Caenorhabditis elegans: one gene and its partners. The protein of the gene in region 1 purifies or fractionates together with the protein of each later gene. This does not show direct contact. Each region holds a gene or a part of one and is shown in the gene's direction. Other genes may lie near its edges. The genes, in order: drr-2, exc-4, zig-12 and B0222.5.

Region 1 (5,637 bases):
GAAACTCGGAACAATTGAGGGCAGCGGATCGGGAAGAGGGGTCTGAAGGGCAGGAGGAGCAGGAGGAGCAGTTGGAGCAACATTTTGATAGGTAACACTGGGTGGAAGAGTAGGAGCAACAGTGGGTTGGGTTGGGTGAAGCTGTGGGGCACCATTGAACATTGGGGCTCCCTGAGCACCGTATTGCACCTGTTGAAGCTGGGCGAGCTGAGCAATGGCGGCTGCACTACCGCGCCCACGGCCACGTCCACGACCCGGTCCCTTGCCAGGCTGACGTGGCACCGACGTGCCGTTTCCTCGTTTTCCCCTCTTTCCACGTGTCGATGATGTTTGTTGCGGTTGGTGAAGGTGGGAGAAATCACCACTCATCGCCTGAAGCTGTGTGGCGGAAAAGAAGCCCGACGGGCCGGGATTCGTTTGTCGACGAGTACCAGTGGATCCTCCGCGGCCTGGTTTTTTCTTGGCGCCTCCACCACGTCCACGTCCGCGAGTGCTGGAAAATATTAATTTTCCAAAAGTTTAATTTAACAAAAGTGTTTTTATAAATACCTTATTTCTTCTATTAATATGGCTGCAATATTTTTCGAAGGTCTCCCCGCTTGCAATACTATTAGGAAGTGCCATACTAATTTTCAGAACATTTTTCTGAGTTGGGACTTTCTAGTTTTTACATGAAAGAATTCCAATTTTATTTGGAAATTTAGAAAATTTGATTGTAATTGCAATAAAAAAGGTTCAATAATTCCAATTTCATAGAACTTTGTCAAAAATTATTGCAAAATAAACATAAAATATAGTTGAAATCTTAAAATTAGTGAGGCCAATTTGCAGGACAAAAGTATATGCAAGACTATTGGGGAGTGCAATACTAATTTTCAGAGGGGGTATGAAGTGCAACACTAATAGGGAGTGCAAGTCTGATACGGAGGTCATACTAATAAGAGAAATACGGTATGTATCGATAAATTTTTCTGAAGTTCAGAATTTTTCTAATTTACTAGGTTAAAAACTACTTTTTAAAAAATTATTTGTGCCAAACTACCAGAAAACTATATTTGTGACCCAAAAAACAAAGAACACCAGCGAAAATTTGAAATTTACAGTAATATATTTCTCGTCGTGGCGAGACCCAAGTAAAAGTGTGCTTCCCTTGAGGAGGCCCCACGAAAAGGGGAGCAAAACGAAAAGGAGAGATATGAAAAGGAGAGCAACGAAAAGGGGATCTGGCACTGTGCCAAACGCTATTTTTCTCGAAGGAAACGATACAACGATGCTCCGATGTTACGTGTGTTGTTAAGCGTATCTTCTATAAGAAAATTTCAAAAATCAACGTGCGTTGAATGAGAAAAAGGCGTTTTGTGCGTTTGGCACAGTGCCAGCTCCCCTTTTCGTTCTGCTCCCCTTTTAGTGGGGCATCCTTTCCTTCAAGGTATTACGGTGTTCCTTTAAGGCTTTAATTCGATTTTCAAACGAATTTTCGTATTTCACGGAATTTTAATCTACGGCATACCTAGCAGGCACGAAATCCTCATCGTAGTCGGAAGCCTCTTGATAAAATGGACTACTATTCCGATCGCTGTCATTCGTACCACCACCATCGCTAATTTCATCCATAAGCTGTGCCTGTGTGGCCAACATCTGCTGAACTTGATTTTGCTGCTGCTGCTGACGTTGTTGCTGCATGGCGGCTATTTGGGTGTACACATCCCCGTTGAAATCCTGACTTCTAGGATAACTGGACGGCAGAGGTGCCGGTTGCATTTGTAGTGAAATCTGGGGAACTGAGGGGTCGCTGAATGGAGAAAGAGGTGCGTCTTGTCCGCGAGAAGGGCGTGCGGAGGCTGAAAGCATCACGTCGTCCGGCAGCATTTGGCTTCGCCGACGACAGGATATGCAGACGAAATTGTTCAGGCTTGAGACGTCGGAAGAGTCGCAGGAGAGATGGTAGCTTCTGGAAAGCAAAAAAAATGTATTTTAATCCGGTGAAAAACAATTGAAAATTCAAAATCTCACTTCCGACAAGTTGTGCACTGCCTCGAATCTGCAGTTATCATTCTTTGGCACGATCCACAGCTGGACGACATGTCACACTGCAAATTTTCTGATTTTAGAAAAAAAAATAGTGGAAAATCGAAAATTTCCTACCTGACGGGCCATATCCAACGACATCGTGCCAGAACGGTTAACATCCATGCAGTTTTCACATAGTTCCGTGTTGTTGAACGCGGTACCGCCACATTCGATGCACTGGAATTTTAATTTTGATGTATAGTTAAAATTTTGAACGGTGAACACTTACAATCATCTTTTGGACTTCATATAGTCGGCTTTCTCGATTTTTGAAGCTTCAATCGATACGAATTTGACTCTAAAATAATTATTATGAGTTATTCCACTGAAAATGAGATAAAAATCGTTCAAACTGCCGCCCATTCTCCTCTAACGGCTGTTGAAAAGGGCGTATCGATTTGTTTGGCATCTTGCCAAGCGTTACATGTCTGCGTCTCTACGCGCTGCGTAGAGCCCCTTGCCATGTTAACGGGGCGGCTACGCATCTCTGCCGCACTGCGTCTCTCTGGCACTGTGCCAATACACCGAATGCCACGCGAGATTGCGGACTGAGAGTTGGAAAAAAATTAAATAAATAATTTGATTTGCAAATATGTATTTTCGAGCTTTCGTGTGTGCGTTTTTAAAGACTTAAATGAATTTCAGAAGACGTCTCACTTGGGGAAGCTTTTCAAGCAATGGCCGATGAGATTTTTAAGGTTAGTGGGTACTTCAAAGCAATGGCATTTTAAATATATCGAATTTTACAGGCATTCATCGGTGGGCTCCCCTATGACTCCATCGCCACTGACATCGAAACTATATTAAAGCACTGCAAGTTCACAGATGAAGAGGTACTGCGGAAAAGCAGGAAATTTCTAATAAATGTTTTTTCAGCTCAAAAAGTTCGATATTCATCTTGTGCACGACAGAGATTCTGGAAGTTTCAAGGGATTCGCATATGTCACTTTTGAGAATGAACAACAGATGAATACTGCTATCAGTGGCCTTAATGGAGCCGATTTCGGAAATCGCGTACTCAAGGTTAATCGTGCCCAACAGCGCGATCGCAGTGACCGCGGAGGTGGTCGTGGAGGTATTTCAGTTATTATTTTATTTTTCTCCGCTCATTTTAACAATAATTTTGCTCAGGACGCGGAGGAAACTTCGGAGATCGCGGAGGACGTGGTCGTGGAGCAGGAGGCTTCCGGCGTGGCGGTGAAGGTGGCCGCTTCAACGAAGGAGAGCGTCGTGGCGGATTTGGCGGCGGAGGACATCGCGGTGGATACCGACAACGTCGCGAGAGCGAAGAACAACACAAAGCCGAGGAAACTTCAGATCCATCAGCTCCGCCAGCAGAACGTCCACGTCTCAACCTGAAGCCCCGTACCACAGATGCCGCTGAGATCGAGGCTCGCAAGAAGCAAGAAGAAGAGGAGACCAAGAGACGCCAGGAGAAGCTTTTCCAATAAACTTTTTTTCGATTTTTCCCTGAATTTCGATCCGCGAATGACACGAAATCCTGCAATCATAGGAGCCTATCCCCTAATTTGTCCCCTCGTCACTTTCCGTCAAGTTCCGCTGGTATAACCATTTCTTCAACCCCTTCTGAATGTCTAATGATCACAAATTACCTCAGAATCCTTTCACATAAAAAGTTTGTTTGTTGTTAAACCCCAAAAAGTCCCAAAAGCATATATTTTCCCCCACCTACTTGTTGTTCTGTTGATTTTACTAGTTATTCCTTTATTTTTCTTTATAGAAATACACTAAAAACATGCGAAATATATGAATAATCAATAAAAAAATATTTTTATACTTTTTTTTTCAAAATCTGGTTTTTGTGTGGTTTTCTCCAATTTTCGTTTCTGCTCAATTTTCAGTTCCTAAATTAAATTTTAATCGACAGATGGCATCACCAGTGGAAAGAGTCAATGCGCTACTCACAGAAGCCATCAAGCCGCAGATTTTGGTGAGTTTTATTGATGTTGTTCATTAAAAAAACCGAAAATTTCTTCCAGAAAGTCGTCGACGAGAGCGGAGGCTGCGATGGATACAAATTTCGGCTTCTCATCGTCTCTGAGGCGTTTGAGGGCAAGTGTACGCTGCAATCTCACCGGTAAGCCTGAAAATGCTGAAAGCTTAGGGTGGATCCACGTACGTGGAAATTAATTTAAACGGAAGAATTTAAAGGAAGTCACAGTCAAGCTGAGCTGGTTTTCCCAACGATTGCACTAAAGTAATGTAAATATAAACTTATTCCAATTTTACAGATTGGTCCAAGCTGCTCTTGCTCCAATCATGGACGAAACTCACGCGCTCACCATCTGCGCCTACACACCTGAAAGATGGTCCCAAATGACGACGGAAGACCGTCAAAATGCCGGTTGCCAGGATTTGGTGGACTAATTTGCTGTACTTTTTAAATGAATGATTCTATTTAATTATTCGCTTTGTTTTTGAATTAAAGTTGGTTATTTTTAATCGAAAAGGCCAGGTCATATTTCTTTGTTTCCGACTGAAATCAGTAGTTACACAAAGTTTCCAGATGATTATTGCATGGGCAGTCTCTTCATTCCAGGACCATCCAAAAAATGAAAATCAAGAAGAAGAACCCATCGATACGCTGCTTGAGGCGAAATTCGACGCGGCGACGACAAGGTTGCCGGGGTTTCTGACAAAAATCGATCAGAAAACTATATTAAAATTCTATGGACTCTACAAGCAGGCTGTAGAAGGTCCAGCAGGTATTTAAAATGGACGATTTTGAAGCTGAGAAACTAAAAGAACACAATTTCAGACTCGAAAAAAGGTCCCTACTGGTTCGAAACGGTCGCGCGCAAAAAGTTCAACTCGTGGCTAGCGAATAGTCAGATGAGCCGGTCGAGAGCTATGGAAGCGTATTGTGAGCTCATGGCTCAGCTTGACACGTCTTGGGATCCGGATGCAGAGACGGTGAAGAAAAGTGGACTGTGGGAGAAGATGCCCAGCACAATGGGTGTTATCGAGGTGAAAAGGATAAAAAATTATTAATCCCCACTTAATCATGCTTTTTTAAATGTATATTTTAAATTTTTTTATGTAGAATAGTACTGAAAACTTGAAAATTGAGCCTCTACGTCTATATTTGGTATCAAAACTACCGTAATGACTTAAAGGAGGGCGACCTCCCGAGACGAGGGGTCTCGCAGCGAGTGGGAACGAATTACTGTAGTTTTTTTAAATGGTTTTTGAAGCTTTTTCCTACTTTTCCCACCAGATTAGAAACCGTTTTAACAAGGCAAACTTACGAAAGATGCAAAAAATTCAAAAAAAAAATTAAAGTTGAGTCTGTGAAATAATAAAACACGTAAAGTTGTTACTAAATACCGTACCCCTCTTATCATTTTTCAGCCAGAAATGTTCGACGACGCTGTGGTGCACCCGCCAACGAAACTGGAAACCGAAACCGAAAAGAAATGGTTCGCGGCGATGCGCGTGAGCGATATCGACACTATGCGCACACTTTTGAGAAATGAACCCGAGATTATTGAGGCCAAGGATCAATATTTGGCGGTAAATAATTTGAAAAAAATTGATTTTAATTTT
Region 2 (9,959 bases), on another chromosome or scaffold:
TCGATTAAGGTACATTTAAGACCGATAGGTAACCAACCTATCGGCTTTAAATGTGCCTTAATCGACGAAATTAAATGAGATAAACTACCAATATATGCGATAAAGGGTGATAACTCCAAAAAATTAAACTTCGAATGGATGTGACACGTGAAAAGTGGCCAAAATTCAAGATTTTAGCTAAAATTAGTTTAATTTTTTTTCGGAAATTTTGAACCGTCATAAAAAATTTTTGAAGATTTTTTTGAGAAGCTTAATCACGAAATTCGTTCAATTGAGCCCATTTTGGGACTAAACGTTCAAAATCGTCCGAACCGTTAGTCCTCCTTTGAAAGCTGGAAATTCGGGGAAAACCATCGATTTCTCACTTAAAACCGGCTCGGAACATGAGGCATACACTCAAAATAATAAAACTGAGTGGCGTGTACTGCAGAAAACCTCATAATTAGGCCCCGCCTTTTTGTCGTCCACTCACGGGGAAAAGGCAAAATTCGGGGACCAACCAATATCAGGCCGCCGACATCTCATGGGTTCCGCGCGCCGCTATGTTTAACTCGCAGCGGGCGGAGGCAGCTTGCCACACCCACAACGAGTTAAACATAGCGGCGCGCGGAACCCATGAGATGTCGGCGGCCTGATATTGGTTGGTCCCCGAATTTTGTCTTTTCCCCGTGAGTGGACGATAAAAAGGCGGGGGCTAATTATGAGGTTTTCTGCAGTACACGCCACGCAGTTTTATTATTTCGAGTGTACACGTTTTGATCTACAAAAAATGCGGGAATTCAGACGCAGACTTTTCTCAACTGATTTCTGGGTTTTTGCCTGAAAAATGACGTATATCGATCAATTTCACCACGTCAATAGAAATTCCAGAAATGCCACTCTTCACCTGACGGCATCTAGTTTTCGGAATCTCGCATACTATTCACATATATATATTTTATGAATAAATCGCATCGCATAAACCGTTTCTGTGTGATTCGTTTCCGATTACACCACCAACAGCAGCACCCGCCGACCGACCGACCGACGTCTCCACAATTTTTATGATTGTATGTATGTATGTATTATATGTTAGTGTCTAGTGTAGATGTATTTGTATCTTTCTCTTCTTCTTCTTCTACTTCTACACACTGCGGGATTTCCAAATTGGACATTTATTTGGGGGACGGTTTTCTCTGGGGTCTCTACACTCTCTGTTCGATCCGTTCGGGGGGTGTCTCGTCAATTAACAAGTTGCGAGACCATGTACCTGCTGACTTTCTGGACGATTTCATAATTTTTTTTCGATTTTTTTGGCATTTTTTATCAGAAAAATGTGTACTTAAGCCGTAAATCGACATAATTTTTAAAAGAGCCATTTTGGCATGTTGTTTCATTAAAATCTAATCACGAAATATAGAAATCGCAGAATCTAACCGAAAAACTTAATTTTACTTTAAAAAATTTTGCGAAGCAATTTAAATCTTTTACACGTGGTGTCAGACTGTCTCATTGCGGTTTGATCTATGAAAAATGCGGGAATATTTTTCCAGAAAATTGTGACGTCAGCACGCACTTAACCATGCGAAATCAGATTAGATGTCTGCGTCTCTTCTCCCGCATTTTTCGAAGATCAAAGCAAAATGAGACTTTCTGTGACTCCACGTGATTCTAATATTCTTTACCAAAAATATTTGTCACGGAATATAGAAAATGAGGTTTTCTAATTCAATATAGCTTTAATTCCAATTGAAAGGCTTTAGGAGGACATCTTGTCTGAAAATCGGGAGATTTCCCGCAATTTGCAACTTTCAGCTAGTTTTTTGCACACTTTAGAACTAAAATACCTCGTACCTTGTATTTTAGTTCAAAGTGTTCAAATCTCGTCTAAAAGTTGCGAATTACTGAAAAACCCCCCATTCCATTGCAATTACAATTACAATTTTTGTTACTAAAACCTTAAACCTGAAATTAAAATATATTTTTAGTAAGAAATATTGAAAGTAAATTCCACAATGGCTCATTTTTTATTACGGGAACAAGAAATTCTGAGAATGCGTACATCGCAACATATTTGACGCGCAAAATATCTCGTAGCGAAAACTACAGTAATTCTTAAAATGACTACTGTAGCGCTTGTGTCGATTTACGGAAATCGTTTATTAATTGATAGCGTATTAAAAGCACACTTTAAAAATAACACAGTAAAAAAAGCTACAGAAAATTGAATATCATTGTCTCGAAAGTCAGTCCCGTAAATCCACACACACAGAGCTACAGTAGTCATTTGAAGGGTTACTGTAGGTTTCGCTACGAGATATTTTGCGCGTCAAATATGTTGCGATGTACGCATTCTCAGAATTTTCTGTTCTCGTAATAGAATTTCCCCTGGAAACTAAAGTTTTCAAGCTATCTCGAACTTGCTTTGTATAATATTTTCTAGTAACAAAACAAAAAATTTCTTCAATTTCATTGAGAAATTCCCAGAAACAAATTTCCAGAAACATGCTAAAATCTGATGCTGAAATCCAAAAAAAGGTGTGGAAAACTCCCAAAACTAGCTATTAAATCTAAATTTTGAACATTCATTGGAAAATTAACAAATATTCGTAAAAAACGGATGTTGTTACCTAAAATTTCCAGTATTTACACCAATTGTCGTAAATATTTTCTCACTAAATTTAAAAATTCTCCATTTATTCGATATATATATATATCATTTACTATATATAAAGCGCTTATTCTGTGTGTCCATAGTTTGTAGTCTATGTGGTCTTTGTAGTCTGTGAAGTTTTGGCTTCTGGAGGGATAGTGAGTTAGGGTTAGTGTAGGGATATAGTCGGGGTACTGTAGTGGTACAATAGTGGTACGGTAGGAATACTGTAGGGTTACGGTAGTTTCATAAAAAATTAATTTTCAGCCCCAGAAGTCGGGGGCCGCGCCGAAGGTGCGGTCCACGGCTGGTATATATATATATATATACCAGCCGTGGTATATATATATATATATATTTAAAATATACACTAATTTTCTTCTGTTTCTTCCGGATTTATTGTGTTATCTCACCAAATTTTCCTCTCCAACAACCACCGCTAATTCCAGATATGGCAGAAGCTTACCAGATCCAATCAAACGGAGATCCCCAATCAAAACCTCTTCTCGAGCTCTACGTAAAAGCGTCAGGAATTGATGCTCGCCGCATTGGAGCCGATCTTTTCTGTCAGGAATTCTGGATGGAGTTGTATGCTCTTTATGAGATTGGAGTTGCACGAGTCGAAGTGAAGACTGTCAACGTGAATTCTGAAGCATTTAAGAAGAACTTTCTCGGAGCACAACCACCGATTATGATTGAAGAGGAAAAAGAGCTGACATACACTGATAATCGAGAGATTGAAGGACGGATCTTTCATTTGGCAAAGGAATTCAATGTTCCACTCTTTGAAAAGGATCCATCCGCTGAGAAGAGAATAGAGAACTTGTACAGGGTGAGTGTATGGAAGAAGAAGAAGCCCGGAAACTGTCGATTTACGCGGATCGTGTACTCCTCGTGGAAAAGATTCTGTAGTTTTCAGGGTTGTGGGGCACTTTTTTTTCACTTTTTCGTCAAAAAAATGAATTTTTAGTCTAAAATTGATATAGAAATATAGAAAACGGGTTGTTCTATTTGAAAATAACATTTACTTTTGTTGAAAATCTTGAAAAAGACCTCAAATAGTGCCTGAAAGTTGCCGTTTGCCGGAAAAGTGCCGTTAAAAGTTTTTAGATTAAAAAAACTGGGTTCTTTCAAAATGAAAATCCCTTTAATCACATACACATGAAAATAACATTAATTTTTGTTCCGTTTGCCGGAAAAAGTGCCGATTAAAGGTGATTTTCATTTTGAAACAACCCAGTTTTTTTAATCTAAAAACTTTTAACGGCACTTTTCCGGCAAACGGCAACTTTCAGGCACTATTTGAGGTCTTTTTCAAGATTTTCAACAAAAGTAAATGTTATTTTCAAATAGAACAACCCGTTTTCTATATTTCTATATCAATTTTAGATTAAGAACGAATTTTATTTTCCACGAGGAGTACACGATCCGCGTAAATCGAACGCCTAATGTGTTGATTTACGCGGATCGTGTATTCCTCGTGGAAAAGATTATCCAGTTTTCAGGGCTGTGCGGCACTTTTTCGGCAAAAAAATAAATTTTTAATCTAAAATTGATATAGAAATGTAGAAAACGGGTTGTTCTATTTGAAAATAACATTTATCTTTGTTGAAAATCTTGAAAAGCCGAAAAAGTGCCGTTAAAAGGTTTTGATGACTTTTTCAAGATTTTCAACAAAAATATATGTTATTTTCAACTAGAACAACCCATTTTCTACATTTCTATAAAAATTTAAATCAAAAAATGGATTTTTTGCGAAAAAATGCCTTGTACTCCACGAGGAGAACATTTTGCAGTTTTTGCTGATTTATAGTGTTTTCAGTGAAACAAAAATACATCATTTCCCCGGGAAAATTGAAAATTTTTGTTAGAAAAAGCGAAAAATACAAGTTTTTAACGAAAACTCTGAAAATTTCCGCGAAAAATATTTAATTCATCAATTTTCAACAGGGTTTCCCCACGAAAATCGTCAATTTTCGTAAAATTCTCGATTTTCTTTTGAAAATACCGAATTTTTACCGAAAAATAATCACTTTTCCGCCAAAAACTGCATTTTTTCAGAAATTTCTGGTTTTCTCACTGAAATGCAACATTTTGTCATTAAGTTATCGATTTTCTGATTAAAAATACCAAATTTCATAGAAAATATGAAAACTGCAATAAATTGATTTAAAATATTGATTTTCAGCAAAATCCGTAAAATCTTCTCCTCGGGGAGTACACGAGGCTTCACACAGCTTGATATCTCAAAAATGTCCTTTTTTCGATGAAAAAATTTAGAAATTGGTCCAATTTTGTCTTAACAGTATGGAAAATTCTGTTTTTTCCTAAAAAAAAAAAAGAAACATTTCCCAATTTTTCCGGAAAAACTTCAAAAAAAATCCAATTTTCCCGGAAAAACTTCAAAAAAAATTAATTTTTCCGGAAAAACTTCAAATAATTCCAATTTTTCTGGTAAAACTTCGAAAAAATCCATTTTTCACGACGCGCGTAAATCGACAAAGTTAAATTTGACGTTTTCCCCCGTCTAATTTCCTCTCATTTTTCAGAACTTCAAACTGTTCCTGCGAGCAAAAGTAGAGTTCGATAAGGGAAAAAAGGAGCCATCGAGAGTTGAAGATCTTCCAGCACAGATTAAAGTTCACTACAATCGAGTCTGTGAGCAACTATCCAATATTGATCAGGTAAAATACACACAGAAATCTGCGAAATTGCCCATTTGCCGAAAATTTTAATTTTCGGCAAATTTTCCGGCAAATCGGCACTTTGCCGGAATTGAAAATGTCCGGCAAGTTTCCGATTGCCGGGAAATGTTAAGTTTCTGCAAATTGCCATTTTGCCGGGAAATTTTAAGTTTAGGAAAGCTACCTATTTGCCGAGAATGAAAATTTCCGGCAAATCGGCAAAACGGAAATTTTGAATTCCGGCAAATTGTCATTTTGCCGTAAATTTCAATTTTCGGTGAGGTACCTATTTTCTGGAAATTTTAATTTTCGGCAAATAGGTACTTTGCCGAAAATAAAAAATTACGGTAAATCGGCAAAACAAAAAATTTCAATTCCGGCAAAGTGCCAATTTGCCGGAAATTTTCAATTCTGGTAAATTGCCGAAAATGATCAATTCCGGCAAATTACTGATTTACCGGAAATTTCAATTCTGGCAAATTGCCGAAAATTTAGTATTCCGGCAAAGTGCCAATTTGCCGGAAATTTTCAATTCCGGCAAACTGCCGATTTGCCGTAAATTTTAATTTTGGGTAAGTACCTATTTTCTGGAAATTTTAATTTACGGGAAAATGGCAATTTTCCGGCAAATCGACACTTTGACGATACAGAAAATTTCCAACAAATCGGCAAAACGGAAAATCTCAATTCTGGCAAACTGCCGAAAATTTATTATTCCGGCAAATTGCCAACCTATCGGAAATTTTAAAATCCGGCAAACTGCCGATTTGCTTGCCGGATATCAATTTGCCGGAATTTTATAAAAAGATTTTTGATAATACTGAAACACTTCATAGGATGCGTTTTCCGTTTGAAATTGAAATTCATAAAAAGTTTCAGAAAAATATATGCGCAATTGCCGGTTTGCCAAAGTTGCCGGAAATTTCTAGCAAACCGGTAATTGCACATTTTCCCCAATTTTCCGGCAAAATCCCGATTTGCTGGAAATTTCTATTCTGGCATTTTGCCAAAAATTTAGTATTCCGGCAAATTGCCGATTTGCCGGAAATTTCAATTCCGACAAATTTTCCATTTTGCCGTAAATTTTAATTTTAGGCAATGCAAATTTCCGATGATTCGCCGGTAAAGTACCTATTTTCTGAGAATTTCAATTCTGGAAGTTTGCCAAATTTGCCGGAAATTTGGCAAACCGGCACTTTGCCCAATTTCCCAATTTCCCCAATTTTTTGTGATAAATATTGTTTATCGCATCTTGTCAACATAATTCCATCAAAAATTGCCCCCATTTTATTGCAGTTGCTATCCGAGAGAAAATCTCGATATCTACTTGGAAACAGTATGACTGAATATGACTGTGAACTGATGCCACGTCTTCATCATATTCGAATTATTGGATTGTCACTTCTTGGATTCGATATTCCACATAATTTCACTCATCTCTGGGCTTATATCCTCACTGCATACCGTACAGCAGCATTTATTGAGAGTTGTCCCGCCGATCAGGACATTATTCATCACTATAAAGTGAGGATGAAGCTGCAAACTACAGATTTGTTAGCCGGAATCAGGGGTGCCGAGGAACAATGTTTTTTGTTGAAAAAACCAACCAAAAAAAAATTCGAATTAGCCATGAAACATACAATTTTTATTCTAATTTTGTCTATATTTTAATAAGAAAAAACATACGAATTATTATTCTGAAAAAGAAAAAATGGCCAAAAGGTTTTAGTTCAGAAGATTTCGGAAAAATTCAATTTATTTAAATAATATATCTCCAGTTTGATTTATATGAAAAATGACAAAAATTGTGGCTTTGGGGAATAATTTCGACTTTTTCATTGAAAATCTTTTTTAAAAAAACGAGAAAACTATTGATTTCTCAAAAAATATGCTAATTTTTATGTGAAAGTGTAGAAAAAGTCTTTAGAAATAGCAAAAAGACCAGAAAAGGATGTTTTTTTTTTTTTGCTTGCAACAATTCAAAATTTTCGATTTTCTCTTGAAAAAAATCCAAATTTCGGCCGATCAGGACATTATTCATGACTATAAAGTGAGGATGAAGCTACAAACTACGAAGACTCGACACTACAAACTACAGATTTGTTAGCCAGAATCAGGGGTGCCGAGGAACAATTTTTTTTTGTTTAAAAAAACCAACAAAACATGCAGAATTCAATATTTTTATTACAGCTCACGCCTTATTTCATAGAAACAACAGAAATTGCACTTTTTGAGCAAATTTGACCCCAGTGTTGGGTTTTTTGAGAGAAAACCGAGACAGGCGCGACTAAAAATGCACCATTTTTGAGGTTTTAAACGCCAAATTTATATGAAAAATGACAAAAATTGTGTAAACTAGTACTTTTTCACGCTTTGGAGAAATAGTGCACTTGAATTTTCGATTTTTTCATTGAAAATCTAAAAAAAAATCGAAAAAAAAATTTTTCCCGATTTTTCCCGGAAATTCTTCCATTTTTCGAACAAAATTTGGAACATTTCTGATTATTTCAATATTTTTAGCGAAAATCTGGAAATTGTTAGTGTTTCCACTTTCGATTTTGACCAAAAAAAAAACCAAATTTCGGCTTAAAAATTGCTAGGATCGTCAATTTTGCTTATTTATTTAGCCTGAAACGAGTTTAAAAAAATAGCACGATTTAAGGAATTTTCGAGGAAAATAGTACTTCTCACGATCTCCTCAAAGCCGATTAATTATTAGAGCGCGCTTGCAGCGCCTCGCGTTTCTGCATCCGGGGTATTTTGCCTTTCCACTGAAAAAAGCAGCTTTTTTTTCAGATTTATCGAATTTTTAGCTTTTAAAAATTTTTTCCTGCATTTTTCGAACAAACCGTTTTGTTTAACAGTGAAAATCGAATTTAGAATGACTAAAATGAACTTTTTTCGTCCACTGGTTGTGAAATGGTTTGAATTTGAAGAAATCAGCGGGATTTTTCTTATTTTCTAAATATTTTTCTATTAAAAATTGGATTCAACATTTGTGACTTAACGTTAGGGTCAAAAAATGGTTTGCAACCGATTTTTAATAGGAAAATATTCAGAAAATACGAAAAATCCCGCTGATTTCTTCAAATTCAAACCATTTCTCAACCCGTGGACGAGAAAAGTTCCTTTTAGTCATTTTAAATTCGATTTTTACTGTTTAACAAAACGGTTTGTTCGAAAAATGCAGGAAAAAATTTTTAAAAGCTAAAAATTCGATAAATCTGAAAAAAAAACTGATTTTTTCAGTGGAAAGACAAAATACCCCGGATGCAGAAACGCGAGGCGCTGCAAGCGCGCTCTAATAATTAATCGGCTTTGAGGAGATCGTGAGAAGTACTATTTTCCTCGAAAATTCCTTAAATTGTGCTATTTTTTTTAACTCGTTTCAGGCTAAATAAATAAGCAAAATTGACGATTCTAGCAATTTTTAAGCCGAAATTTGGTATTTTTTAAAGAGAAAATCGAAAAATTTTAATTTTCCTGGTCTGCAAGCGCGCTCTAATAATTATTCGGCTTTGAGGAGAGCGCTTGCTTCTATGATAATTAATTTTTTTGAAAAATGTTTGGTGTAAATTTTTCAATTTTACAGCGAAATCAACAAAAGTTTGGTGCGGCTAACAAAACTCTAGTTTGTAGTCGTTTCCCAATTTATGTGATTTTTAAACCCCAAAATTCTCTGAATTTGCAGGAACAAATGAATCTGTTCACAAATCAACGTGAAACCCTCCAATCGCCAACAAAAACGCACACAATTCCGGAAAAAGTGCTATCGGATATTCGTGTTAAAGGACTTGCTCCCGATGTTAATGTTCATTAAATTAAATTCCCTCTACTATTTGCTCTTTAAGTGACAGATTTCTCAACGAAAATTTAAAAAAATTTCGGCTAAAAATTGCATATTTTGGTAATTTTTTCGTCGAATTGACACAAAAAACCGGAATTTTGAATTTTTCTTGTAAAGAGAAAATCAAAAAATTTTGGAAAAATTGGAGCTGATTTTTATGTGATGAAAATCTATTAAAAAAATGGCAAATTTGTTCAATTTTTTTGGCTATTCTTTTTATATATTTTTCCCACATTTTCACATAAAAATCAGCAAAAAAAATTCAAAAACCGAGTTTTCTCAGAAAAACGCCTAAAATTTCCAGATTTTCGCAAAAAATATTGAAATAATTCTTCGAAAATTGGGAAAATTTCCATTTTTTCAAAACAAAAAAAGTGCGGGAATATTCGGAAATTTCCGATTTTTTTTTCAAAAAATCAGACATTATCCAGATTTTCGCTTTAAAAAACCGACTTTTTTCAAAAAATACGAGAAAAAGCGATTATTTCAGATTTTCGTTGAAAATTCTGAAATAAAACAGAAAATTTGCAGATTTTCGCTGTTAAAACCGAAAAAAAATTACAAAATTTCCAATTTTTTCGGGAAAAAAACGGAAAAAATCAGAAAATTTCCAGATTTTTCCAAAAAATACCGGCAATATCTGAAAATTTCATTTTTTTTTTTGCAAAAATACTGGAATAATCAAAGTATTTCCAACGTTTCTATCTGAAAAATCAGAAAATTTTCCAATTTTTTTGCAAAAAAAAACGTGAAATGTATTAAATTTCCAGAATTTCCCAAAATTTTTCACAAAATT
Region 3 (7,044 bases), on another chromosome or scaffold:
GTTCAAAAGATTCCATTATTTTTTTACAAGGAAACACATGTCGGAACATACCTCGAACAGCCGTCATTATTAGTAGGACAAGCTATAACGCAATCGTGTGCACTTGCAAGAAACTGCTCGAAAACAACTGCAACTCCCTGAGTTTCGTTTACAGAGACACTTCGCCGTCTGGAATTGAAAAGAGTAAAACATCAGCGGAACGTTATTTTACGTTTTTCTATTCAAATATAAGCATTCACCAAAAATGGTTTAAACAAACGTGACATTCGAAATTACATTTTGCCTACGCTCACTGTTACAAAAGTATTTCCCACGTTGTCAGTTTTTCAACCATAAACAAATTTTTAGTCCGAGGACATAATCCACAAGTACCGATACTTTTTTATACGTTTTTGAAATATGACCTCTCAAGTTCATTTCGTTCGATGAAAACCATCCGGATCCCCAGGGTTTTGAATTACAAGTTCAGAGAAAATTGTTGTAGACCGTTTTGTTATTCCCCCTGTGAAAAATGTGCTTTGCACTTTACCAACAATCACTCATCAATAACCTAATCACTGGCATCGAACGTGACAAAGTCTCTCCGCAGGAATGTATTTTCAATCGAGACTGCACACCACTATTATCACAAAACGAATAGCTGCTGACTAGAGAAACGGATATCAGTTCCGAAAAATATCTCATCAATTTATGATAATTGATGGACTTTCGCAAAAATGTTTGGTCTATCAAGTTCATGTGGCGGAGGTAGAGGTGTTTTTTGTGTAACTAAGTAATAAGATCTTGTGTTGAAAATACTTACTCTGATAATTGTCCAGTGTATGGTTGTGGAAAATTAGGTGTGGAAAACAAGATACCATCTTGAAAAGCAACTGAGGTCCGGAAAAAAATGATGAAAAATAAAGGAATCAAATTTAGTTTTGTATACATTTGTGTTGCCAGCCAACCACGAACAGTTAAAAAATGACAGTACTGATAGGAAAACCGCACATCGTGTTGATTGAAAATGTTTCTATGCTCACAAACTTTTAACGATTTTTCTCTTTGTTACATTGTTATATTTACTGATGTTTTTTTTTGAATAAGAATTATATTTTTAATTGAATTGTTTAAATTGAATTTTTTGCTCACATTGAAGATAACAAACAATACTTAAATTTCGAAGTTTATTTGAAATTCCATCATTAATTTTTATGATTTTCTGCTTCAGATCTCAAATTCGATGTAGTTTAACGTTGAAACAAAAAATGAAGGATGAGAAAGTGTAAGCCATTAGAAATCCAGATGTCTCAGACGAGTGCGTCATCCAATTATTTTCCAATGGTACCTTTGAAGTGTTGAAGATATGGGAAAAATGAGATCGGCTTCTACCCAGTGACTGGAAGCAACTTAAACAAAGTGCAATCTACAAAATTTCGATCTGAAATTGAAGAAAGAAAAATAAAGCAAACCACAACAAAGTGATTCTTTTCTCTATCTTTTGTATCTCTTGCTCCTACAAAATATTTTTCATGCGAAAATATTTGAATTACACACTTGAAAAATAATTTGAGAAAGGTATTCCCTGACGTACCGAAGTTTCAAATTACACACACTCTCGGCATCTTTATACAATATCACTCTTACTCTTTGAACTCTCTGAAACATAATATTTGATCTTTTGATACATGATTTTCAGATTGAATGTGGAGTTCCACTGCTGAATTACAATATGGAAAACTTACAAGGTGTTGGATAGAAAAAAGTAAGAATGAAAACAGTTTGGTTCATATAAGTTTATTATAAAATAATTTGTTTTTAACTGAAAAATTGTCAGCTTATGTTTTTACCATTTTTGGGATTCATCTCATTTTGAGACCTAGAAAGGCAATATATTTTAATTTTTAACGCGACTGGGGCATTTAAGTGTCCTATATCGTTTTCCACATTGCTCTATTCGGCCAAGTCTGGTAGCTTATTCTCTGGTTTCTTTCTAAATAGGAAATTATGCAGCTTATTGTAAGATGAGGCCAATCAACTAAATTGTTCTTTGACCCAATGCTAAACCTACATAGTTGAATTGCAATGTGGTCATAAAGAACCGCGAAGAATTGACATTATGAACGTACAATGCAGATATCATCAATGAAACCATGCACAATGCGCACGCCGCGATTTGCAAAAATGTGCACATCATGATCGTCCTATTGTGACAGGTCTATAAATCCATTGCTTTCGAGTTGCTCAGTTTCAAAGTGGCATTTTCATTTAACAACTTTTGAAATCCTTAATACTCATACAACAACCAGCGACGTCATTTCCATCCGTTCCCAAATTGCTCATTGATTCCGATTTCAAAATACTCTCAAATATCCTTTGTGAAGCGTGTCTCGTCAACTTTGCCTTCGCCCTGCAGCTCTTCATTGAGAACTTTGTAAAAATTTTGGGATCTTCAACGTCGACGAGAAATGAAGAGTTAGGTGGGAAGTGCCATCCCATCCACCTTTCTCCTCCTCCGCAAAATCTGTGGGCAGCTCCGGGGGGCTCCCGGGACATTCATCTTTCCCATCTTTTTTCGTCGTTTCGTTCTCCGACTAGCGACCAGGAGGCGGAGAAAGAGCTTAGCAGCAGAAGAAGTAGAAATTACAACACCTTCGTGAAACAGAGAAAAAGATAAAGGGAAAATGGGACTCTAACAGCGACCTCTTGGCACTTTTGTCAGTTGGAAACTACAAGCGAGACATCATTTTTCTCCTCTTCATATTTTTTGTTCTCCTCTCAAATTTGTTTTTTTTAAATTTATTCTTGAGTGCTGATCTCAATGCACAAAAAACATGACTAAAATCAACTGTTATATGTACAAAAAACCAGTGATTCAATTTTCGAAGCATTTTTCAACCTTCAACCATTGGTCTTTTTGCCTTTTTCTTTTTTTTCTCAGCATTATAAAGTGTTTTCCCTCAAAATACTGTTGACACATCTTGTCTAGATCTTCTCCAACATTCCCCTACTTGTGCTTGTTCATTGAGAACATAAAACATTGTTTGCTTAGTTCTCCCACCCAAAAGCCACTACGAACTACCGTTCAAGAAGTCTTTCGTCTCCTATTTTCCTGTGAACTCAATGGATAAATGATGGTAAAAACACATTGGCAGATCATTTTTCATTCGCTCTTGGCGGCGCTCTTACCTGATCAGAAAACACGCCCCTCTTTTCTTTTAGTGTGTAAAACTTTAGGTTACCGAGATTCCGTATATTCATGGCTTCGTATTCAATCATAAAACTACAGATTTTAATTTTTTCAGATATGGCACCACCATCAATTTACGGAGAACCAAAAATTAGATCAGAGAACGGGTCGGTGTTCCTTGAGGTACGAATTTGCTTTTCCTTTTGAAAATTGCTAAGTTTTCTTCCAGGTCATCGTCACTGGAGCTGATGTTTCTAAGATTCAGTGGTTTTTCGGACCAGACGAGCTTGAGGAGAACGAGTTCCTGAAGTTCTCAAACAGTGACGAAGGAGGCAACCGCACCAAGTTTGTTGCCGAAATCAAGGTCAGTTTGAGAGCAACTGTTTGCCAAAGCATCTCGTATAAATCACATAAAACGACTCACGAGTCATTTTATGGTCCCATTGCTGCGATGCGCTCTGCAACTGTTGTCTGTATGTGTTTTGATCTGCGTTTAATTGGTTTTTGATGGACTTACCGTAGATTTTGGGCAAAAGTGCGGCAAAAGCAGAATTAGCTGTCGGTCGGGAGGTGAAAAGCAAAACATAACAACGGTTAAGCATTTGATCAAAAGGAAACTCTAAGTACATTCATCATTACAAAATACTTTTTACTTTACTATATTCTTTATTTTTTTCGTATCTCACATTAAATATACATCAATAACGTGAACTGTAATTTTGAAAATTCAGTAAACATTAAAAAAAGCCGTGCAGTTTGAACTTCACATTAGGAACTATAATTGTAAAAGTTACTAATGATAGTAGTAGTTGAAAAACAAACCACATAAGCTACATTACTGGTAAAACGGAAAAGCAACTGAAAAACTGTCCAACGGTCCAAAATGCCGCAGACTGAAAAAAAAAACTGATGTCCGCCGGTGGTCTGTCTCCATGTCAGCCAATAAGCCGATTGTCGACCGCCCCGGTCGCAAATTTCGTTTTTCTAAGCTTAAAAAAAAACTCCGAACACAAAAACGATTTTATCAGCTGCCATTGGGCCGCTTCTGAGCAATCCCGCTTTACCTGTGATAAAAAATAATCGGAATTATGAATTTTAACTGTTAACAAAACACCTTTTTGCTTCTTTAAATCATCATTTTATAGGACTTTGATAAACCACTTGCCGGAGAATACAAAGCCGTCTTTGCCAACGCCGATGGAGAGAACAGCTCTAACTTCACAGTCGCAGCAGGAAGTGAGCTCATTATCAAAAACACTAAAAGCTTACACATACAATTTCAGACGCCCCAGACTTCCATGACAAGCCACATATTGTTCAAAGAGATAACGGAAATGTGATTGTGATTAAGGTCCGCGCAAAGTCCCACCTTGAGATGAAGGCCGAATGGTTCAAGGTATGTCTGTCACCTTACTTTGAATCTTAGGGGAAAAAATTTCCCTGAATTCTTATTCGGTATTTTTCTTGGCATTGCTAAATTCATTTTGGTTGAACCAGAATAGAGCTTCTCGAAGATGGATCGACTGACTGACGTGTCTTTTTTCTTTTGTCTTCTTTCTTCCACCGAAGAAAAAAATGTAGTTGTCCTAATTTCCACATTTATGTTAGTCGAAGTGAACCTCTCCGGCTTTCTCAAGGGGATTCAAAATAGAAAGGCAGAGATGGGTAATGTAAAGAAGTGTGGAAATAAGACAAAAGTTGGGAGGCCTCCTCGTCCGCGCCTTTGGGTTGTGCCGAGACAGATACTTGAGGCTCATGGAGCAGATAGAGCGAAGTTTTGAGTAGTGAACAAAAAAGAGAAATGGCGCAAAAAACTAAAAGCAAAAAGGTTCAATAAACATTAAAAGAATTCACTTGTTGTCTGGTTCAAAATGTAAAATGAAAAATGAAAAATGAACATTTCAATGGGCATGCTTGGAACCAAGTTTGAGTTTTTTTGGAATGCTTTGATAAATAAAATTAACAAACTTGTTTTGGAAAAAATTTTCTGAACGACCGTCTAGTATAAATCATTTTTAAATTAACAGAAAAAAAGTAAATTTCATATTTTTCACTAATTCATTCTTCCAGGATGAAAAACCAGTGAAATTCACTGACCGAGTTAAGGCTGTTGTAAAGAAGGACGATAAGGACAAAGACGGATTCCAATTCCTACTCGAAATCACCGGACCACAAAAAGACGATGAAGCAAAATACAAGTGCGTTGTCAAGAACTCCGAAGGACAAAACCAACAAGCGTTGAACTTGGTTTTCGATTAATTTTATAAATTTTCCCTTGGTTTTTAATTGTCATACAATTCAATTCATAAAGCCTCAAATCAATTTTCATGTTAATCGTTGCTTCTGATTTTCGATTTTGGTAGTTGCACTTTCCGCTTTTTTTTCTTCTGTAACTTTTAACGTTTTGTAGTATTTGTCTTCTCAAAGTAATTTGAACTTTGTGTCCCATGCACATGAATTGGTATCAGCCAAAATAAAAAAGTTTCTTGACACATTGAACATGAGAAGATATACTTGCAAGTACAGAAATCAATATATATATATACAGTGCTGGCCAAAAAGATATCCACTTTCAGTTTTTTGACGATTTCGATATTTTTTCCAATGGGCATAACTTCAAAACTAGGAAAGGTACCAAAAAATTTTCAACTGGTAAAATGTAGCTCGTGATCAGGCCTATGTATTTTTACATGTTGCAATTATTCATCCATCACATGGCAAGTAATAAAGCGGCGGGCATCTCGTGAGTCCGTTTTTGACGATGATTACTAAAACGACTGTAACTCAAGAAACATATTTTTAATGAAAGGTTTGAGAAAGTAACAAAATGTTTATTTAATTTTTCATTGTTTGAACATATCAACTTTGTCCTAAAACCTCCATTTAAAAAAATGTGTGCGCTGAAACTAGTGTCTCATTAGACACTGTTTAGAGGCTTTGTTCAAAAATCAGGTTTCTTGGATTGAAAATCTTTTTCCGACAATTTTTGTGAAGAACTGATGTTGTTATTATATTTGAACTACATATTAACCAATAAACAGAATTCAGAAAAAAAAATCTACTATTTTTGAGACATGAGCTCGAGATTACTCTACACTTCTCTTCTTTAAACTCTCTTGTCTTTTTCAATGGAGGTTTCAGGACGAAGTTAGTATGTTCAAACAATAAAAAATTATATAAACATCGTGTTACTTTCTAAAAACCTTCCATTAAAAATATGTTTCTCGAGTTACAGTCGTTTTAGTAATCATCATCAAAAGCGGACTCACGAGATGTCGGCCGCTTTATCACTTGCCATGTTTTGGGTGAATAATTTAATCATGTAAAAATACATAGGCCTGATCACGAGCTACATTTTACCAGTTGAAACTTTTTTTGATAGCTTTCCTAGTTTTGGAGTTATGCTCAATGGAAAAAATATCGAAATCATCAAAAAACAGAAAGTGGATATCTTTTTGGCCAGCACTGTATATACGTGTCTTTGCTGTAATTCAGTGATGCAGATAGTAGATAGTGCTTTATCATTTTAGTTTTTCAACAATTTTTGTAAACTCTAGTGTTTATCTAACAAAATAAAACCATAGAACAAAATAATATTGAAAATCATCCAACGGGCAAAAGTTTACCTAGTCCAATTTAGACTACTTCAGTTGAAACAACATTTTTGCTATCACTTTGAGAATGCCGCTTTTGAATCTGCAATCTACGTGTGCAAATTTTAATATCTAATTTTATATCAAGTTGAAAACAATCTAATAAGACATAACCCCGAAAATCAAAAAAAAATTGGTAACCGGCTGCCTGTTTTGAATTGAAAATTATTTGATTTTACGGCGAACGGTTCAACATAGATTACACAGTAAAAAATAATTTCA
Region 4 (7,044 bases), on another chromosome or scaffold:
AAGAGAACCTGGAATATGAGACGCAGACTGAAAAGAAAAAGGCGGAGAACGGAAGGCACTTCATAGTGTTTTGGCACCACGTTTAAGAGCCTCGGAGCTTCACCCACAGGAGCCATTGGAAAATATCAAAACAAAACATCTTTAACCCCTGGGTGCTTCACTCATTTTTTGGTTGCAATTTCTAACCTCTTTTTTTTCTCTTTTTACAAAACCGGGAGGCTCGTTTTTTAATCCATTATTCACATTGTTTTCAGTTCAATGAATTCATCACAGAGTACAATCCAGAAAGAAAAAGAGAAAAAAGAAGACGAGGAGGTGTTGGAATTCTTTTTTTTTCTATTTCTGGGTTTTTTGTTTCGAGTTTGAAACTGCAAATATTTTGAACAAGTTTTAAACCTATTTTTCTGCATCTATTCGTTTCAACTTTAATTTTTTACAAACATTTGCTCATAACTCCTTCATATCCGACTATCATACATTTGATTAAGAGTTTCTAAGAAAAGAAAAAAATTAAGAAAAAAAAAAAGTAAAAACTAGTATCCTAGGAAACTTTGACAGCATGTCAATATTATAGGCGGACAAAATTCTCAAAATGAATTCTATATGTGATATTGCAAGGGGTTTTGAAAATTCAAATTAGAAACATTTATAAAGTGAAGAGACCTGAATAAAGCAGGTTTTCAAATTACAAAATATCCGCATCATAAAAACCATACAGTTCAAACAAATTGCCAACAACTAACCAAAACTTGAACCAATTCCTTCACACTAATGGAATTAGTGTTTGTTCTTATTTTGTTTGATCTAAAACTATATTTACTTATTCCTTTTAAATTCAACTCTTCATCTCAAACTCTGTGGAAATGACACTCCTAAAAAGTTAAATTTCAGTTGAACTCCGTATTAAACCAAGTGAACGGAAACAATTATGAGCGTGCACCCTGTCATTATCTGTCTTTTCATTTTCTTTTTCATTTTGCCGCCTTCTGCAGATACTACTGTGAAGTGTTTTAAAGGTACGTTGAATGAGCAGAAGAGCATTTCGTGTGCGTGACGAGTGATTCTTTAGGGTTCTCGGGAGATGGAAGGCCGTTCAAACAACGTCTTTGTCAGACAGAATATTGCATAAAGTGGGTTGAAAGAAGAAAAAGAAAAGGCAGCAAGTTTATTGGAATTTTCATTTTGCAGAACGACAGAGCCAACTGGCGGAGCTACTTACGGATGTGATGACTTTACGCCGTTTTGCAAAGTGAGCGAACAAAACGAGTTTGAAATTGAAAGAACAAATGTGCAAAGTGAAAATCAGAAAAAAAATTGTCGAAAAGATTGAATGTGGCGCAGCCCTGGTGTAGATTTTCTGGAAATTAATTATAAAAACCATACTCATTGAAAGAGCAATGTCAACTTTAACAGAAAACAAATACTAGAAGCGGACAAAACCCATATGTAGCGGACAAAGCCCAATGCTACATACTGTAACTATGGAAAAATAACGGAATACACTTTCGCTTGTAGAAAATGAGTGGGGTCAATGCCGGTTTTATCTAAATGTATGTATTGTCAATTTGCCAAAAAATGACCAACAGTGAATAAAAATCACAATAAGGATTATTTAAACTTAAATTTAAAAACAGCGTATTTTTCTATCGTCTGACACTTAACAATGGTTCCGGTCTTTGAAAAAAATATTAGAAAAATACATTCCTATATGTTATACTTGAAGCTCGATTCCCGTATTGTTTCTCAAAAGTATAATTTATGATTCTTAGTGATAGAAATTCATTCTAGAACGTTTTGTTGTTTTCTTATTCTAAAAACTCGTGAGTAACGTTTTCTTCCAGTGATTTCCATAGAAACTTCTAGACTTTTCTATTCTTTTAATCTTTTCTCAATGTTTTCTTTTTTTCAGAAAGACGAATGCGTGGTCACTTCGAAACAAAGTAAAGTCTGTTGCTGTAATACTGATCTGTGTAACTCTTCTCCAATCACTTTCTGGCCTGTGTCTCTACTATTCTTCATTTTATTTTCTTATTTTATGTCTAGTTATTAGTTTGAACTTTATTTATTTAAAAAAATATTCCGACAAAAACGGGTTATTTTCTGATGATTCACTTCTTTTCCCGAATAAATGTTTTTTCAACTAAAGGTAATTCTGTTAGTCAAACCAAATTTATTGGTGTAAAAACGAATCCAAAGAGAATAAGAGAATGTACCAGTTTTATCGATTGATCATTGCATTCTAGTAGTTGACATAATATGATAAAAAGGAAGTAAACCTTTTTTTTCGTTTTTCGTCGAACAAAGATTCGTTCAGCAATTGATTCCTTTTCTTGTTCTCAACTAGCACTGATACTGCTTAGTTTTTTCTTTTGAAAAAAGATACTGTTTCAATTTTTAATCTTTCTTGATTTTTTGAATCTTCGGAGAGAAGAAAGAATATAACTTGGCTTTCATATCCTAAGAAAATTATTTTTTTCTCGAATTTTTCCTTTATTTGAAATATTTTTGTTAATGTTTCCAAATATTTGTGAACACTTTTTGATTCACCTATTTCATATGCACAGAATTTATGTACATAAAAATAACTTACATAAAATTTCATCGGCGAGTGATGAAAATAACCAAAAGCCAGTAATTCCCAAATACAATAGATCACTCAATGATCAACTCATAGCTCTTACTATTTTTTGTTCTCGAAAATCAAATAATGTTTGTTTCACTAACTAGTTATTATTTACCTTCATTCATTTCCTCGTTTCAATCATTCCTTCGAACGCAATTTTTTGATTTCCGGCATGCGAGCTTTCTGCATAATATTACTTGTTGGATTCACCCAAGTCAATGCTCTGTTTGGAGACAGATTATTACGAGCCAGGTTAGTTCTTTGGAACAAAAATTGTTAGGCACAATTTATGAAAAACCAATTTTGAAATAATTAGAACCCTAGTAAGTGAAAATATTTTTCAACAGTTCGGTGTCCACTATTAAAAAAATAACAGTTTTGTTTAAGAATTTTATATTAATAAAGTGTTGAAGCAACTGGTGGAAATTTTAATTTTTCAACATTACTTTGCTTATTTCAAATTTATTATAAAAATGTAATATTTTATTACAGAAACCCAAAAACTGGACCATGCACGTTGAATGATGATGGACTAAAATGCAATGAAAATGGTGATTCTAAACTTTAAATTATATTAATTTATTCATAATTTTAGGATACTATGAAACTGTACAATGTAACTCTGAATCATGTTATTGTGTTACTCCTCACACTGCACTTGTTGCATACGACACACGAACCAACAATCCGAAAACCGCGCCAAAATGTGGAAGTAAGTAGAGACCATTCAATTTCCTAAGTTTTCCCAAAAGTGACGTTTATCGTTTCAGCTTGCCTTGTTTACCTCCAAAAGCTGTTTGCCGACGGAGATCCTCCAGAAAATAGTTTCGTACCAAAATGTGACGTCGGAAAAGGTATGAAAAAATAATGCTAAAGATAAAATATAAGTATTTAAGGTGATTTTGAGCCTGTACAATGTGACAGTAAGAAGAACCAATGCTACTGCGTGGACACAAATACTGGAAGAGAAATACAAGGGACACGAAAACCATTGAGTAACACAACAAAGATGAATTGCATGCAAATTGGTAGTTCAAAATCATGAATAATTTAAAATAATTCGATAATTTCAGATTTCTCCATCGATTCGTCAGCATTCCCCGCTTTTGAAAAACCAGATCCTGCCAAACCGAAAAATGATCAACCGATTGGAAAACCATGGTGTGCAAGTAACAGAAATGCTGGACATACATGCAATCAAAATAAAACTTCGATAAGAGTAAGTTGATTTTAAACCTAATAAAAAATCGGGCAAATATTTTTTTTAGTACTGGTTTGACGTTGAAACCTTCCAATGTTTCCCATTCGAACACAAAGGCTGTGGTGGAAATCAGAACTCCTATAGAACAAGTAGTGAATGCTATTTTGACTGTGTCTTGCGTAAGTTATCCACGTATTGTTTTCATGAATATAAGTGACGTTCACCAAGGAAAATGATCACAAGTAGGCCTATGGTACCAAAAATTGTAAAATGTTTCATACATTTTTGACCCAAAAGTTTGAAAACTCTGAGCCCCTCATTGACGTATTCAATTTTTAACTCAAAAATTCAATTTTTAACTCAAAAATCAAATACGATAATTGAATGCAGTTTTATTTCAGAAGACTACTTCAGTTGTGCAATGCAATCACAACCAGCTAGAAAGTCGAATGGACAATGGTATTCTTGCCCAGAAGGCCCAGATGGTCCACCAGGTATGTTTTGAGATTGATGGTTTTTTAATAAAACTTTCGAACTTTCTACTGCATAAATAATATTTGAAAATTAGCTACAAATTTTTGTGGTGAAAAACGAAACTTACAATTCCGGTTTATAAAATGTTATTTTTTATTTCATTTAAAGGATCCTGTTTTTCGGATCTGAGCTGTTTAAACGTTAGAAATACAATGTTTTAAAAACGAGTATTAGTTAGTTTAAAACTTTATTAAAGTAATAATGAACATTAAAAAAACTAACTGAAATATTGCTTCATATTTTTCAGGCTTCAAGACTACTACAACTCCAGGCCCAAAACTAACCTCTGATGGTTGTCCAAAGGGATATATTTGTTCTATGGGAGCATTCTTTGGTATTTGCTGCGAGGAGAACTTGACAAGTAAGTAATCATATTAGCGACAACCAAAACACAAAGTTTCCAGATCGCTACCAAGCAGCATTCAAACCATTATGCAAAAACAAGAAAGAAGCTTTGCAAACGAAACAGGACGATTGGTCGAGTGCAATGCTCGGAAAATCATGTTCCGATAGATTCTGTCCAAGCAGTCATACTTGTGAACATAACGAGTTTTTTGCATATTGTTGTCCGCGTTAATATGTGTGTTTTGACGTTTGTTTTCTTGCCCATTCGAACCGCCCTTCAATTCACATTCTAATTCAGGTTGTAATAAATAAGAAAAAGTATTTGTAGTTCTTTTGTTTTTCACAATGATATGTAATGTATATTAAACGACCTTTCATCTCTTCTGTCCTTTTCTTCTGTGTTGGTTTTCCACCCAGACAAATTGCCGGCCCCCTACTTTAAACGTGTCTTCTCATAGCATTGATTATTGATGCCTATGTGATATCAATATCTTTTATATTCATTTTCCCTCCTAAAAGAAATATGTTCAGAAAACTGCACCGAAACAAAGTCTTCGACCATACTAGATACTTGTTGATTTCTGATAGTGTCCTGTTCACCCCATAAAAATGTGTTAAATGCAGCAAGCAACAAAGTATATTTGTGATTGAAATTTGATGCGAATAGAATTTAAAAATAGAGTGATCACAGTTCTAGCAGAAAACGAATTTTCACAAATGAATCGGAATGATGACTTGGTCTATTTGAATTCGCTCAATGTCTCCGCAGACATGATGTGTACCCAAAAATGACTTGATTGATGATTTCACAAATGTTCCAGTTTAGTTTCGTGCTTTATGTGGAATATGCTACAAAACGCTAAAATACGATAATCGAAGGCTTCAAAACTAAACTGCGGTGGACTTTTCTAGCTCGAAATATGCAACTGAAACAGTTGTTGGGCTATTCTTTGCTCAAGAAAAAATTATTACGGCACAACAACTGTAATTTTTTTTTCTAGAAAAAAATTCATTTGAAAAATGGACGCTGATGAAAAAGTTATTAAATGAGCCGCGTAACTACATTGAAAAAATGTTAAACGTATTTTCAGAAATTGTTTTGTTAAATTGTAGAAAGAAGAATAATCAAAAATAAAACTCATAGTCAGGTAACTTTTTTTTGAATATTTTAAAGCAGAAAACGAAGGATCTCGTTTAAACTTATCAAGATTGTTTTTTGATGTCTTAGTTCAGTGTAGTTCTCTAAATAAAACAAGAAATATAGGTTTATCCGTATGTTTGCAGAAAATTAGTTCAACAGATCAAATGTTCATATTAACGTGACTTTTAAAAACATGAAAGACGGATCAGTTCAAAGTACGTTTCCGAAGTGAACACATGGAGATATTCAAAGTACATGCTGATCAAAAGAGCTTGAAATTAAAATTCGAAAATGTTCAATTGCCCTATATGCAAATTGAGAAAAACGTGCAAGTGGGGATCTTGTTAAAGATTTTGTTGTCTTAAACTTCCAGTCAAAATTTTGGCGGATTGCCAAATTTTTAAACAATACAATCTTTTAAGAAAATAAAAAGCAATGTCACATGTTCCACTCCTAGAATTTTTTACACGAATAAAAACAAAATTATAAAATTCGTAAATCGTAGAAATAATTTCTTTTGGTCTATTTCCAAAATTATTAATGAAAAAAATTGGTAATTGTCACTTTTTGACAGTAACTAAAAATTTTCCAACAATAATTTTGAAGGTAATTTTGAAACCATAGCAGTAGTTTCATATACTTTCCTCACTTGTGCTGCTCCTCCTTTAAAATGATACAGTCTACAAATCGAAGAGACTTCGAAAAATCGATAAAAGTTCGAGCAAAAACTATTAAAAACATTTCGATTTGAACCATAATTTAAAAAAAAATCCAGAACAAGATATAAACTATCAAAATTGAGAAATGAAGTGCAGAATAGAGATTACGGCGTTTTTAATAGGCCCGATGTTCAACGATTAAGACTTGGTGTATAGCTTATATATTAACATGCAGTACTAAGTTTCAATCGGTAAATTTGCTTTATTGTGTGATAGGATCGTATATTTTTCTATTTTCAAAAGCTTAAAACTAAATTTTTAATTTTAATAAGTTGGTAGTAAATCGTGAGCAAAAAAAAAGAAAAAAGAAAATTGGTCCCAGTCTACAAACGTTGCTGAAAAATTAGAAAAAAAAGTTTGAGTAGTTTAATACTGTGTTTTGGTGTTTGAAACATTTTCCCCGTTTTAAAACAATAAAACGGTATTCGGCCATTGAATGAAACACATCCACAGAAAACAATGATGATTGGTTGGGAGGATG

What was found.
Region 2: the proteins of drr-2 (region 1) and exc-4 fractionate together in Caenorhabditis elegans (co-fractionation; one large-scale study listed by BioGRID). This does not show direct contact.
Region 3: the proteins of drr-2 (region 1) and zig-12 fractionate together in Caenorhabditis elegans (co-fractionation; one large-scale study listed by BioGRID). This does not show direct contact.
Region 4: the proteins of drr-2 (region 1) and B0222.5 fractionate together in Caenorhabditis elegans (co-fractionation; one large-scale study listed by BioGRID). This does not show direct contact.

Annotation. Positions count from the first base shown.
Region 1 is NC_003281.10:13,640,649-13,646,285, reverse strand, and holds drr-2 (RRM domain-containing protein), read left to right. Parts: upstream 1-2,715; 5' UTR 2,716-2,747; coding exon 2,748-2,768; intron 2,769-2,819; coding exon 2,820-2,903; intron 2,904-2,946; coding exon 2,947-3,145; intron 3,146-3,201; coding exon 3,202-3,521; 3' UTR 3,522-3,866; downstream 3,867-5,637. Other genes in the region: set-16 (PHD-type domain-containing protein), read right to left, coding at 1-493, 1,511-1,951, 2,014-2,090, 2,146-2,247, 2,300-2,305; T12D8.10 (BolA family protein), read left to right, coding at 3,959-4,021, 4,071-4,168, 4,323-4,458; acbp-5 (Acyl-CoA-binding domain-containing protein 6), read left to right, coding at 4,598-4,796, 4,850-5,058, 5,443-5,604.
Region 2 is NC_003279.8:14,511,840-14,521,798, reverse strand, and holds the start of exc-4 (Chloride intracellular channel exc-4), read left to right. Parts: upstream 1-3,079; 5' UTR 3,080-3,083; coding exon 3,084-3,464; intron 3,465-5,181; coding exon 5,182-5,316; intron 5,317-6,612; coding exon 6,613-6,840; intron 6,841-9,007; coding exon 9,008-9,136; 3' UTR 9,137-9,959. UniProt on the Caenorhabditis elegans protein: May insert into membranes and form chloride ion channels. Involved in the formation of the excretory canal. Required to prevent cystic lumenal expansions in the excretory cell.
Region 3 is NC_003284.9:8,760,623-8,767,666, forward strand, and holds zig-12 (Ig-like domain-containing protein), read left to right. Parts: upstream 1-3,284; 5' UTR 3,285-3,286; coding exon 3,287-3,352; intron 3,353-3,398; coding exon 3,399-3,533; intron 3,534-4,314; coding exon 4,315-4,405; intron 4,406-4,452; coding exon 4,453-4,565; intron 4,566-4,710; exon of another isoform or gene 4,711-4,856; intron 4,857-5,239; coding exon 5,240-5,428; 3' UTR 5,429-5,658; downstream 5,659-7,044. Other genes in the region: M02D8.5 (CUB_2 domain-containing protein), read right to left, coding at 52-168, 803-930.
Region 4 is NC_003283.11:9,150,621-9,157,664, reverse strand, and holds B0222.5 (BPTI/Kunitz inhibitor domain-containing protein), read left to right. Parts: upstream 1-2,792; 5' UTR 2,793-2,795; coding exon 2,796-2,875; intron 2,876-3,115; coding exon 3,116-3,174; intron 3,175-3,218; coding exon 3,219-3,335; intron 3,336-3,393; coding exon 3,394-3,477; intron 3,478-3,519; coding exon 3,520-3,651; intron 3,652-3,696; coding exon 3,697-3,842; intron 3,843-3,891; coding exon 3,892-4,003; intron 4,004-4,225; coding exon 4,226-4,318; intron 4,319-4,605; coding exon 4,606-4,719; intron 4,720-4,762; coding exon 4,763-4,935; 3' UTR 4,936-5,344; downstream 5,345-7,044. Other genes in the region: B0222.15 (Activin_recp domain-containing protein), read left to right, coding at 929-1,016, 1,070-1,130, 1,189-1,249, 1,910-2,050.